Linked DNA regions of Oryctolagus cuniculus. The protein of the gene in region 1 purifies or fractionates together with the protein of each later gene. This does not show direct contact. Links are inferred from orthologs where the notes say so. Each region holds a gene or a part of one and is shown on either strand. Other genes may lie near its edges.

Region 1 (4,244 bases):
CAAGCACTTGGGCCATCCTCCACTGCACTCTCTGGCCATAGCAGAGAGCTGGCCTGGAAGAGGGGCAACTGGGACAGAATCCGGTGCCCCAACCGGGACTAGAACCCGGTGTGCCAGTGCCGCAAGGTGGAGGATTAGCCTGTTGATCTGCGGCGCCAGCCGAAATCTAACTCTTTTAAATAAAATAAATCTTGGGGCAGGTGCTGTGGCACAGTGGGTTAGTGCCCTGGCCTGAAGCACAAGCATCCCATATGGGCGCCAGTTCAAGACCTAGCTGCTCTACTTCCAATCCAGCTCTCTGCTATGGCCTGGGAAAGCAGTACAAGATGGCCCAAGTCCTTGGGCCCCTGCACCCACGTGGGAGACTCGGAAGAAGCTCCTGGCTCCTGATCGCGCAGCTCTGGCCATTGTGGCCAACTGGGGAGTGACCTATTAGATGGAAGACCTCTCTCTCTCTCTCTCTGTGCCTCTCCTTCTCTCTGTGTAACTCTGACTTTCAAATAAATAAATAAATCTTTAAAAAAAAAATCTTAAAAAAAAAAAGATGAGTCCAGTGATTCAGCCAGCCTCCTGTTGCCTTTAGTTCTCTGTGCCCTGACTTTTCCACTGTTCTAAAGAATGAGGCCTCAAGTCTCTTCCAGTGGAAACCAACCTCCCAAATGCACACCCCAACACACACTCAGATTCAGCTGTCGCCTTCCTGCAAGACCTATACTGGAACTATGTCTTATGAATCCCCCCACAACCCCGTATGCAGCAGGAAGGCGATGCACCCAGAACTCGGGCCGGCCGAGTCACTTGCCACACTTACCGGCAGGGTACTGAGTTTATTGCAGGACAGATCCAGGACGGTGGCCTTTGGAAGGGCAGCCTAGGAAAGGAGATGAGAAAAACACGTCAAGTCGGCACCTGCCACGGCTCAGGGACACCTGCAAGTGAAGCATTTTCCCAGGAAAGTTCCCACGACTAGGAAAGGATTTTTTTTTTTAATGGCACCGAAGAACAGTGTTGCTGGGGATAAGAGAGGAAAAACTGAGCCAGTTCTAAGGCAGAACAAAAAGAGGGGTTTGGCCACAGAACAGCAGAGAAAGGAAAACCTGGGTGCTCAGAATTCTCTACGGCACCGAAACTCTCAAGCGCCCCTCTTGTGAGGCTGCGGGCAGGGACCGAGTCTCAGAAAGCGCTGCAATTTTCGTACTTCCCACTTCAGGGCCCTCCCGGGAAGCAGGCGCTCAACCGAGAGTGCACGAGGACACGGGAGCCGGCGTGCAAACGGGGCCCTCACGGCCCATCTCCATGTTCCCACGGTGTCTGGGGTGGAAGAGGCCCCGCGCACCTGACCCTTCTTTCGCCCCAGGAGACCGTGATGCACTGACCAGACAAATCAGTTTCCCATAGCAGTCCCGGGGCCAGTCTGGAACAAGGCTGGCCACTAAGGACCCACGGCCGACCTGCCTTTCCAAGTGTCAGAAGGTGAAACGAGACAGTGTTGGCCGCTACAGTGGGAAGAACCACGGTAACAGTCCATCTGTCAGCGCCTGCCACCTTCCAGGCACTTTTAACTGTCACAACCAGCAAATGAGAGATGATCACCATTTCATAAGTGAGGAGATCTAGGCCCAAGAGTTACCCAGCCGCCAAGGGCACTCAGCCAGCAAGCGATGAAGCTGCCATGTGAGCTGGAACCCCATGCTAAGCCCCACACTACATAGCGCCCTGGTGAGGTGAAGACTGGGCCTTGCTAAAGGCAAGGGTCGTCCATCACTCGCAGTAAGGAAGGTGTAGGAAGCTAGCACTCCCGGTGGGGGCGGCTGGGGCCGAGGCTCCAGACCCACGTAGGCAGCGAAGTAGGTAGTAATCGCCCCAGGACGGCAGGCTTCAATTTGTGGGGTAAGAAAGGAGGAAGAGTGGGGGGAGGGGGGTTTCCCGCCAGTTTCGGCGGAGTTGGGATGAGACCTTGCCAGCCTGGCCGGGGAGACTTCACGTTTCTAGTCGCCCGAGGGCTGGGACAGCCAGCTAGGCTGCCAGGTCCCGAGCCACACCCAGGTCTGCCGGGAGGCCTATTTTCCCACACCGACTCATTCATTCATTTTCCAATACAGCCAGCAACCGCTCGGTGGGCTTCGGCTTGGGGTCGGGCACCGGCTGGGGCTATGAAAGTCCCCACCCCCCCACCCCATCACTCATTCTTGGCTGGTGAAGAGCCCAAGGCCAGAAGAGACGGTCTCCCCCATCTTCTGGAGCCGCGCCAAAGTGACACGTGTACATCCCAGGAAGAACACTGCAGCCGGACGTGGCCGCCCCGGGGGCTCAGCCCCCCGCCCCCCGCCTCCCCATGGCTTTAAAGACGGGGAAACCGAGGCACGGGACAGAAGGCGGCCCGCGCGGGGGCCACTGCCAGGCGAAGGGGGCGCCTGCGCCTAGCGGGGCTGTACTGACCAGCTCCTTCACCGGGACCTCATTCAGGTCGCTGAGGCTCAGGTCCAGCTCATTGCCGTCCAATTTGTCGCGGAGATTCCCGCCCTTGTTACCGGCCTTGGTCATGATGACGCCGGCTGAGCGGGCCCGGGTCCGGGCTTCCGACGGGCAGGGAAAAGGAAAAGCCTCTCGAGGGTCCGGCGGACTCGCAGCCAACCGACAACGCCTGCGCCCCCGATCACCGCCGGTGCGAGACCGCCGCCGCCCGTCCGCCCGCCGGCCACACTCGGAGCCCCGCGCCCCGCTCCCACCGGTACCGCCGCGACGACGACCACTTCCGTGTCCACGTCACCTTCCGCGGCCACCGAGACGCGCCGGGCCAGAGCGGCTCGAGGTTGTACGAGTGCGCCCTCTGGTGTCCAGGGGCGTGTAGTGCCGCCGCCGCCGCCGCCACTGGGATCGGGTGCAAAGCTCTTTGAATTCCGCTTCTCTGCGGGAAGCCCTGGTCCCCTTGGCTCCACGCAGAAGATCTGCGTTCGCATCTAAAACTGACTCCGTCAAATCTGACCCCACCCCTTTGAATAAGGAGCAAAAGCTCCCTGTCCTCTTCTTAACCACGCAAAATCACCGCCTTCCGGAAAACTCTACTTCCTGAATTTCTCTTCCCTCTTGTTCCCCATCTATCTTCACCTTCTGAAAATCTGTTCTCCTTCCTGGGCTGGGTGCTGCCTGCTTCTGCGGCCTCCTCCCAAGCTGCAGCCCCTGCCTGGCCTTGGTGCCCATCAGACTTCCGGGGCAGGTGCCCCACGCACCTTTCCCTCTACCCAGCTTCTCTGCCCAGCTAATCCTCAGTCCTGGCAGCCTCCCCTGACCACCCTGAACACCGGGCTAAGTTCGGAGCCCTCCAGGGGCTCTGGCACAGCGCCGTCTGCACTTTTGGGTTAAGTGGGACCCCCGCCCCCGGCACGCTGGGTGTGCCTCCTGGCTCTGCTGTTGCCCTGCCTTGGTCTTATCAGTGGGTCCCTGAAAAATATGAATTAAAATGTTAGCCAGCTGTTGCGCGTGGGCGGTCGAGTGAGTGAAACACGGGAAGAGATTAAGGCAGGAACCAGGAAGCACTCTAATCATCATCCAGAATTTGCCGTCTGCCTCATGTTACACTTTTCTTGGTGGATCCGAATGTGAGGGCGGGGATTGTGCCTTACTCACCTTTGTATCCCCAGAGTCTGAGCCCCGGCGTGAGATTTGCCCATTCGGATGTCTTTGGGAGGAATGAATGAGGCAGCAAACCTCAGCTTGCTCATCTTGAAACGGGCTATTGTCCCAGAGGGGAGCCTTGAAGACCCAGTGAAGTCGGGCAGTACTCCAGTCCTTGGACCAGGACCCACGGTCCCAGCCTCCGCACTGTGCCGGGCTTCTGGGAGACAGGCAAGGACACGTGGATGATGAGACGTTAGCTTTTGGCAATCCCTATGTCCTTTGGCACCCGTTAATTTGCTTTGATGACAAACAGGAGACTGCGAGGCACATTTTATTGTAATGCTCCTCTTATGGAGGAAGAAACCAAGGCCCAGCGAGGCAGAGTAACTTGTCCTCCACCACACAGCTGGTTGAGCACAAGTCCCTTGATTCCAGGTCCTCTTTCTGCTCACTACGCTTTGTTATTGCTACCCCGAAGGACCCTACAGGCCATGCAAATAATTATTATATACCACGTAGGAGGATCTGTGCCCTCACACAGATAAAAACCTGCATTCGAATGCATAGGGCAGTGTGTGTGAGTGGGGTGTGTGTGTGTGTGTGTGTATTGACATCAGAGTAACAGG
Region 2 (4,282 bases), on another chromosome or scaffold:
TTATTTACACAACCAGCTAAAGAAACTTTGGGAAGCTTCATGGTGCATTACTGTGGTTTAACTTTGACACAAAGCTCCTGCCTATTTAAAGGGGCCTAGCAGGTAGGTCTCCACCAACAAAGGGATAGGAAATCTGTCTTTCTGATGGCTCTTCAATTAGTCTTTCATGGCTCAAGAGTTACTTTTGCACACAGAGAAGCAAGGCCACATTTGGGATTTGACTTTGAGAGCGGGACAGCACTGATCAAAACTAGCTCAGCTGCTAGTCTTTTCCCCACTGCACAGTAACCAAGTAATCTGTTCAGAGATGAGAAGCCAAGCAAACAAAATGACAACTGATTCTTTTAAAAGCACATTTTAGGAGCATTCTGGTAAAAGTCAAAATCTCTAACACTGTGATACGATGTTTAAGATTTGCTTCAAAACAATACAGTTTGGGGGAGGAGGTACAAGACTGCTCTTAACTGTAAGTTAATCATTGTCAGAGCTGGGGCTCTCACACTGGAGCCGGGGTTGCCTGCCCCTCGGCCGAGGGCCAAGGAGGCAGCACATGATGGAGCACGCAGTCCCCGACACCCACGTGGCAGCCTGGCCCAGGCCCAGCTGTGCGTGCGGCACCTGCGGAGTGAACCAGCGGATGGAAGCTATTTTTTTAAAAAAAACTGCCGAAGTTGAGCGACAAACACAATACCTAAGTCGTCTAGTCAATTTTCATGTATTTTCCACAGTGAAAAGTTTAAAAACAGCTTTATGTTACCCACTGCAATATTAAAACTTCCCTAGCACAACTTACCACAAGGTAGCAGAAAACATGCTTTTTACTGTTTGCAGAGTTGTCTGTTTAGCTGTTTTTAAAACGTCAAATTTTAAATCAGAAGCAATGTGACACTGTGTCAGAAAATTCTAGAAAAACCTAACAAGGAAGCCACTTTGCATTGAGAGATGTAAATCAAAACATTTTCATTTCTCTAAGGAAACGGACTAAGACAAGCCGAGGTCTAGGCGGACGTCTGCGGCGCGCACACTCCGTTTTCTCTGTCCTAACTCGAAGCTGAGCACCTCGGCGGCCGCAGCTCCCCAAGGACCGGCACAGCCGCACCACGCAGCCCAGCATTAGCAGAACTCGGTGCGCCCGTCCCCAGACGGCCAAACCGCTGCCTCCACACCCCGGCTGTATTTTTAGTTTCTGCTTCAACAAGTAGCAACGTAAGCAGAGGTCCCTTCCTGCAAAACCGTACTTCGACTCCGTCCGCCCGCTTCTAAACAAAAACACGCGCAGCACGGCAGCGCGACCCCAAAGCCCTCCGCACGGCCAGAGAACAGGGGCAGGCGGCTGGGACGCGCATCTGCGCGCGAACAGCCGAGAGCCTGCACCCACGCCGACGCGGCAAGGCAGGGGCACGGCCCCGACCCCGAGGACAGGCACGCTCGCCCAGCGCCGTCCGTCCACCGCCCTCGGCCCCGAGGACAGGCACGCTCGCCCAGCGCCGTCTGTCCACCGCCCGCGGCCCCGGCCCCGAGGACAGGCACGCTCGCCCAGCGCCGTCCGTCCACCGCCCCCGGCCCCGGCCCGAGGACAGGCACGCTCGCCCAGCGCCGTCCGTCCACCGCCCCCGGCCCCGACCCCGGCCCGAGGACAGGCACGCTCGCCCAGCGCCGTCCGTCCACCGCCCCCGGCCCCGGCCCGAGGACAGGCACGCTCGCCCAGCGCCGTCCGTCCACCGCCCCCGGCCCCGGCCCCGGCCCGAGGACAAGCACGTCGCCCGGCGCAGGGGCAGCGGCTGCCAGCAACTTTCCTAGAGGCGGGACGACCACGGGGAAGGCGGACCCGCGGCTGGCGCGCAGGGGGTCCGGCCCGGGCTCGCCCCCTTCCAGCCCTGAGCCCAAAACAATGCCCCCGGCGCCGGCGGGGGCCACGCCGAACACCGCTGCCTCCCCCACTCGCGCACGGGCAGCGAGGCAGCTAGGTAGGTCAACTTCTGTCCACTCGCCCCACTAAATTACACCTTCCTATCACGCCAATCAATCATGCAGGCGGTTTATTGGGGACACGCTGTGGGTCTGGCGCTCCGATAAGCGCTTCACACGCCCCATTTCCCCGAACCTCCGCAGCCAGAAAGCGGCAGGACGGTCTCGGCGCCCCTCTCCCCAGCCCACACAAAGAGTTGAAGGGGCCGCGCCGGGGCCGGACACCTGGGCCGTGCCCGCCGCACGACGCGGACGCTCCGGACCCCGAGGGCTGGAGAGGGGACACCACCAGCCCGGCAGGAACTTCGCTGTCCCCGCGCGCCCGCCCAGCGCAGGGCGCCAGGCACCTGTTCCCGGCCCCGGCGAGAAAGCGGCGGCGGGGCTGGGGGCGCCGGAGGACCCGCCTCTCCCCCACCCCGGGCAGGCCCCGCGGGCGGGACGCAGGCCCGGGCCGGGGGGAGGAGGCCGGCGCGCGGCCCGCCGAGGCCTAGGCCCCACCCGCCGCCCGCCGCCCGCCGCCCCCCGCCCCGTGGCCGCCGCGCCCGCGCGGGCCCCGCCGCGCTCGGCCGGCCGCCTCACCTGGCTGCTGCCCTCAGCTCGCCCCTCGGCCGGCGGTCCTGGGCGGCGGCGGCGGCAGTGGTGGCGGCGACGAGGGGAAGGAGGAAGGAAGAGGGAGAGGAGGAAGGGACGGCGGGTGGGAAGAGGCGGAGTGGCTGCGGAGGAGGCGGGCGCCGCCGCCGGGCCGGGGGGTCCAAGAAGCGGGGAAGCCGAGAGAAGAAGCGACGGCGGCCGGCGCAAACGCTGAGGAGCCGCTCCGGCGCCCGCAGCCCGGCAGGAAGTGACGGGGGAGGGGCCGGCGCCCGCCCCCGGCCCCCGCCCGCCTCCAGGCCCGGCCCCACCCCCACCCGCGGCCCAAACCACAAGTCCCGGCGGGCGCTGCGGCGGGGCCGGCGCCCGCAAGGCACACCGGGAGCCGGCAGGCGGGGCCTGGTCGCGGCGAGGTGGCCGCCGCCCGCCCTGGGCCAGCGGCCTGCTGGGAGTTGTAGTTCTGCCGGGCCCCGAGCGGGAAGGCGGAGCGCGTGCCTTCTGGCCTCCCGCACTTCCTTCTTCCTTCTCTCAGTCCGTCCTCTCGTCTCGCAGGTGTCGTTCCCTTCGCTCCCGCCCTCAGGGCCTCCTTCCTCCGCCATGTGCGAGGCGCTGCCCCGAGAGCTAAGAACGGAACGGACAAACGCCCGTGCCCTCATGGAGCTTACGTTCCAGTGCGGATAAAAGGCGCGAATAAAATCATTAACTTGCTAGGTGCACTGAAAGGCAAGATAGGGGCCGGCGCCGAGGGGAGCGGTCAGGCACCTGCGATGGCAGACTCTCTCCTTCAAATAAATAAAGCTTAAAAAAACAAACGAAAAGATGATGTGGCTGTGCGCGTTAGGACCCCAGGGCTCCGCCTATCACTTCCAGGCCGACTTTCTTCTGTTTCCGTACACTGACAGCAAGTGCCCACTCTAACAGAAACAGCAGTGTAATTTTAGATGAGAGCCAACTTTTCACGGGGACTTTATGCGCTCTGCCCATTCCTATATAACTTATCTTGCGGGAAGGAGCAGGCAGAATTTGGAGTAACATCTCCAGTGCTCAGTTTCTTATTTCCATCTTCATCCTGAAACAAAGAAAAATAATTCCTTAATTACTTGGCAACAGCCCAGAAGACTTGAGGCCTTTGGGAAAAAAGATGTGACTGCCAGTCCCTAAGTACAAAAAGAAAAACACGTCTAAGGCTCCCCTCCCACACCCAGCAGCCCCACGACGAACCTGTGCCTTGGTTAACACAGTGGTCCTCAAATGAGCGCTGTGGAGTGACTGTTCGCGCTGTTTTCCTCTTCTTCCTCTCTGTCTTTGGTTTTGTTAGTTTTTAACGGCTGAACAATTTCAACACATAGTAACCTGGCTTTGTGACCTCTCTCCAAAAATGAGGTGGCCAGGCAGCATCGGAGAGCAACAGTCCAGCCACACTTGGGCTCCCACAGCCCACATCAGGGGGCCTGGGTTCGAGTCAGCTCTGCTCCTGCTCTACCTCCCAGCTAACGCACCGCGGGTCATAGCTCCAGCACCTGCGTCTTTACCACCCAGCTGGGAAACCCAGGTGGACTTCCTGGTTCCCGGCTTCAGCCTGGCTGTTGTGGGCATTTGTGGAGTAAACCAGCAAAAGAAGAATCTCTCTCTCCCTCTCCCTCTCTCTCTCTCTCTCTCTCTCTTTCTCTCTCTCTCTTCCTCGATAAAATGAAAACAAAAACATTTTTAAATTTTGGGGGATGCA
Region 3 (3,301 bases), on another chromosome or scaffold:
TGCCGCAGGGATAAGAGAAATAGAAGTATAGAAGTAAAATGAGAGAAATAGGAATGCTGGCAGATAGAAGTAAAATAGGAGAAATAGGAATGCCTGGAGATAGAGAAATAGAAAGGCCTCCCCACAACACGGCAATGAGAGAGCTTGGATTCGGTCTGCCTGATTAGTAAGACGATAAGCACCTGTGAGCGGCTGCATGTCACCGAAGACAGGCACGTTATCAACACCAATAAGTCTCCCCACAAGACGGCGATGATAGGGCTTGGATTCGGTTTGCCTGATTGGTAGGGCTTGTAAGCACCTGCAGGCAGTTCTAGCAGAGCAGAGCATGCGCTGCAGGGCACCGAACACAGGCACGCATCAGCGCCTAAAAACCTCACAACATGGCGAAGAGAGGACCCGGATTCGGTTTGCCTGATTGATAGGACTTGTAAGAACCTGTGGGCAACTCCAGCAAGCAGAGCAGAGTGTGTGCCACGGGGCACCGAAGACAGGCGCGTATCAACGCCAAAAAATAAAAAGAAAGGGGGATCTGTGGGGAGCAACTCAGACTAGACTGTTACTGGAATTAAGACTTATTCTATGCATCTGCTCTCCCACAATATGGCGCTGGGAGAGGAGTAAACAGCTTCTACTCAGCTGCCTCCAGTTCAACCAATAAACAGCAGGACCTGCTCCTGATTGGAGGAGAGCAGCATACTCGGCGTGTGGGTAGCAGAGTTGGGATTGGTGGAAGAGGACTATAAAGGAGGAGAGAGACAACATGCACCAGGAACATCTAAGAGGAACACCTGTGCAGCCCCCGAGAGAGCCGGCTGGCGGTGTGCTGCTCCCCCGCGGAAGTGGGGAAAGTGGCAGGGGGAACCGCCCTTCCACGGAGGTGGGAGGGACGGTAGCCAACCTGGGAAGAACCAGCAGCAAACCCGGGGAGGGCCGAGCAGACAAAAGAACAGCGCAGGGTCTAGTGTCGTTCCTCCACGAAGACGGGGAGCGACATAATGGTGCCGTGACTCGGATATGAAGCCTAGGCAGGGTTTAGTGTCGTTCCTCCATGAAGAGGGGGAGCGACAGTAGGCTGAAACAGTAGTAGATTATTTAGAAATAGAATTAATGTTGTGTAGGATTATTAATAATGCTGATATTTTGATACTTAAAATGGAAGAGCACTAAAGATAAATCATTGTATGAGGCAACCTCAAAGTTCATGGAAAGTGGAATTTAAAGAGAAGTATCTGGGTACAAACATGTTTGAAATGCATGTTTTTAAAAATAATACACATAGTTCGATCGGTAGCGGGAGCGGAGAGCGGACCCCAGAGAGCCCTGAGCAGCCCCACCGCCACCGCCGGCCTAGTTACCATCACACCCCGGGAGGAGCCTCAGCTGCCGCAGCCGGCCCCAGTCACCATCACCGCAACTATGAGCAGCGAGGCCGAGACCCAGCAGCCGCCCGCCGCCCCCGCCCTCAGCGCCGTGGAAACCAAGCCCGGCACCACGGGCAGCGGCGCAGGGAGCGGTGGCCTGGGCAGCCTCACATTGGCGGCGCCCGCCGGCGGGGACAAGAAGGTCATCGCAACGAAGGTTTTGGGAACAGTAAAATGGTTCAATGTAAGAAACGGATATGGTTTCATCAACAGGAATGACACCAAGGAAGATGTATTTGTACACCAGACTGCCATAAAGAAGAATAACCCCAGGAAGTACCTTCGCAGTGTAGGAGATGGAGAGACTGTGGAGTTTGATGTTGTTGAAGGAGAAAAGGGTGCGGAGGCAGCAAATGTTACAGGTCCTGGTGGAGTTCCAGTGCAAGGCAGTAAATATGCAGCAGACCGTAACCATTATAGACGCTACCCATGTCGTAGGGGTCCTCCACGCAATTACCAGCAGAATTACCAGAATAGTGAGAGTGGGGAAAAGAATGAGGGATCGGAGAGCGCTCCCGAAGGCCAGGCCCAACAACGCCGGCCCTACCGCAGGCGAAGGTTCCCACCTTACTACATGCGGAGACCCTATGGGCGTCGACCACAGTATTCCAACCCTCCTGTGCAGGGAGAAGTGATGGAAGGTGCTGACAACCAGGGTGCAGGAGAACAAGGTAGACCAGTGAGACAGAATATGTATCGGGGTTATAGACCACGATTCCGCAGAGGTCCTCCTCGCCAAAGACAGCCTAGAGAGGACGGCAATGAAGAAGACAAGGAAAACCAAGGAGATGAGACCCAGGGTCAGCAGCCACCTCAGCGTTGGTACCGCCGCAACTTCAACTACTGACGCAGACGCCCAGATAACCCTAAACCACAAGATGGCAAAGAGACAAAAGCAGCCGATCCACCAGCTGAGAATTCGTCCGCTCCCGAGGCTGAGCAGGGCGGGGCTGAGTAAATGCCGGCTTAACATCTCTACCATCATCCGGTTTAGTCATCCAACAAGAAGAAATGAATATGAAATTCCAGCAATAAGAAATGAACAAAAGATTGGAGCTGAAGACCTTAAGTGCTTGCTTTTTGCCCATTGACCAGATTACTAGAACTATCTGCATTATCTATGCAGCATGGGGTTTTTATTATTTTTACCTAAAGATGTCTCTTTTTGGTAACGACAAACGTGTTTTTTAAAAAAGCCTGGTTTTTCTCAATACACCTTTAAAGGTTTTTAAATTGTTTCATATCTGGTCAAGTTGAGATTTTTAAGAACTTCATTTTTAATTTGTAATAAAAGTTTACAACTTGATTTTTTCAAAAAAGTCAACAAACTGCAAGCACCTGCTAATAAAGGTCTTAAATAAAAAAAAAATAATACACATTATCCATGAACTTTTTGAAGATCCTTTGTACAGAAGCACAGGGTGGTAGTTGAGGGTATGAGTTTGAACCCTTCCTCCCACTCTTGGTAGTGTGATGTTTGTGTCCTTGTTTCAGATTCCCCATTTGTAAAGTTGGAATGATGATAATACATATTTCATTGTGATGTCATGTGTAAGAATTGTGAATAGTAAGTGTATCATAATTATTAGGGATTAAAGAGTAACTTTTCCTCTAAGTTATGCTTGCTAATATGTCAGTTGGGCTATATTTTTCTGCTGCAGTTATTAAAAGGACTTGTGTAGAGCTTTTGTAGGATTTTGAAGAAGGAATAAAGATCCCTCGCAGAGACCTTGAACCTAGAATCAAGCTCACAGTGACCCGGTTTTTGTAGAGTTCTGAGGTCCACTAGTGAGTCAGGATCAACCTAGATTTATGAAATTGCAGCCATGGAGTGTGACACTACTCCCTAAGAACATTTATCTCTGTGTTGAACTTCA

What was found. The genes of interacting proteins can lie anywhere in the genome.
Region 2: the proteins of LRRC59 (region 1) and STAU1 purify together in Homo sapiens (affinity purification with mass spectrometry; 3 studies listed by BioGRID). This does not show direct contact. The link is inferred for Oryctolagus cuniculus from reciprocal best matches to the Homo sapiens genes LRRC59 and STAU1.
Region 3: the proteins of LRRC59 (region 1) and Y-box-binding protein 1 purify together in Homo sapiens (co-immunoprecipitation; 3 studies listed by BioGRID and IntAct, with this or other methods). This does not show direct contact. The link is inferred for Oryctolagus cuniculus from reciprocal best matches to the Homo sapiens genes LRRC59 and YBX1.

What each region holds. Positions count from the first base shown.
Region 1 is NC_091448.1:26,317,155-26,321,398, forward strand, and holds the start of LRRC59 (leucine-rich repeat-containing protein 59), read right to left. Parts: upstream 2,805-4,244; 5' UTR 2,545-2,804; coding exon 2,440-2,544; intron 872-2,439; coding exon 812-871; intron 1-811.
Region 2 is NC_091442.1:11,270,600-11,274,881, reverse strand, and holds the start of STAU1 (double-stranded RNA-binding protein Staufen homolog 1), read right to left. Parts: upstream 2,809-4,282; 5' UTR 2,548-2,808; intron 1-2,547. UniProt on the Homo sapiens protein: Binds double-stranded RNA (regardless of the sequence) and tubulin.
Region 3 is NC_091434.1:59,356,995-59,360,295, reverse strand, and holds Y-box-binding protein 1, read left to right. Parts: upstream 1-1,242; 5' UTR 1,243-1,257; coding exon 1,258-2,271; 3' UTR 2,272-2,793; downstream 2,794-3,301. UniProt on the Homo sapiens protein: DNA- and RNA-binding protein involved in various processes, such as translational repression, RNA stabilization, mRNA splicing, DNA repair and transcription regulation.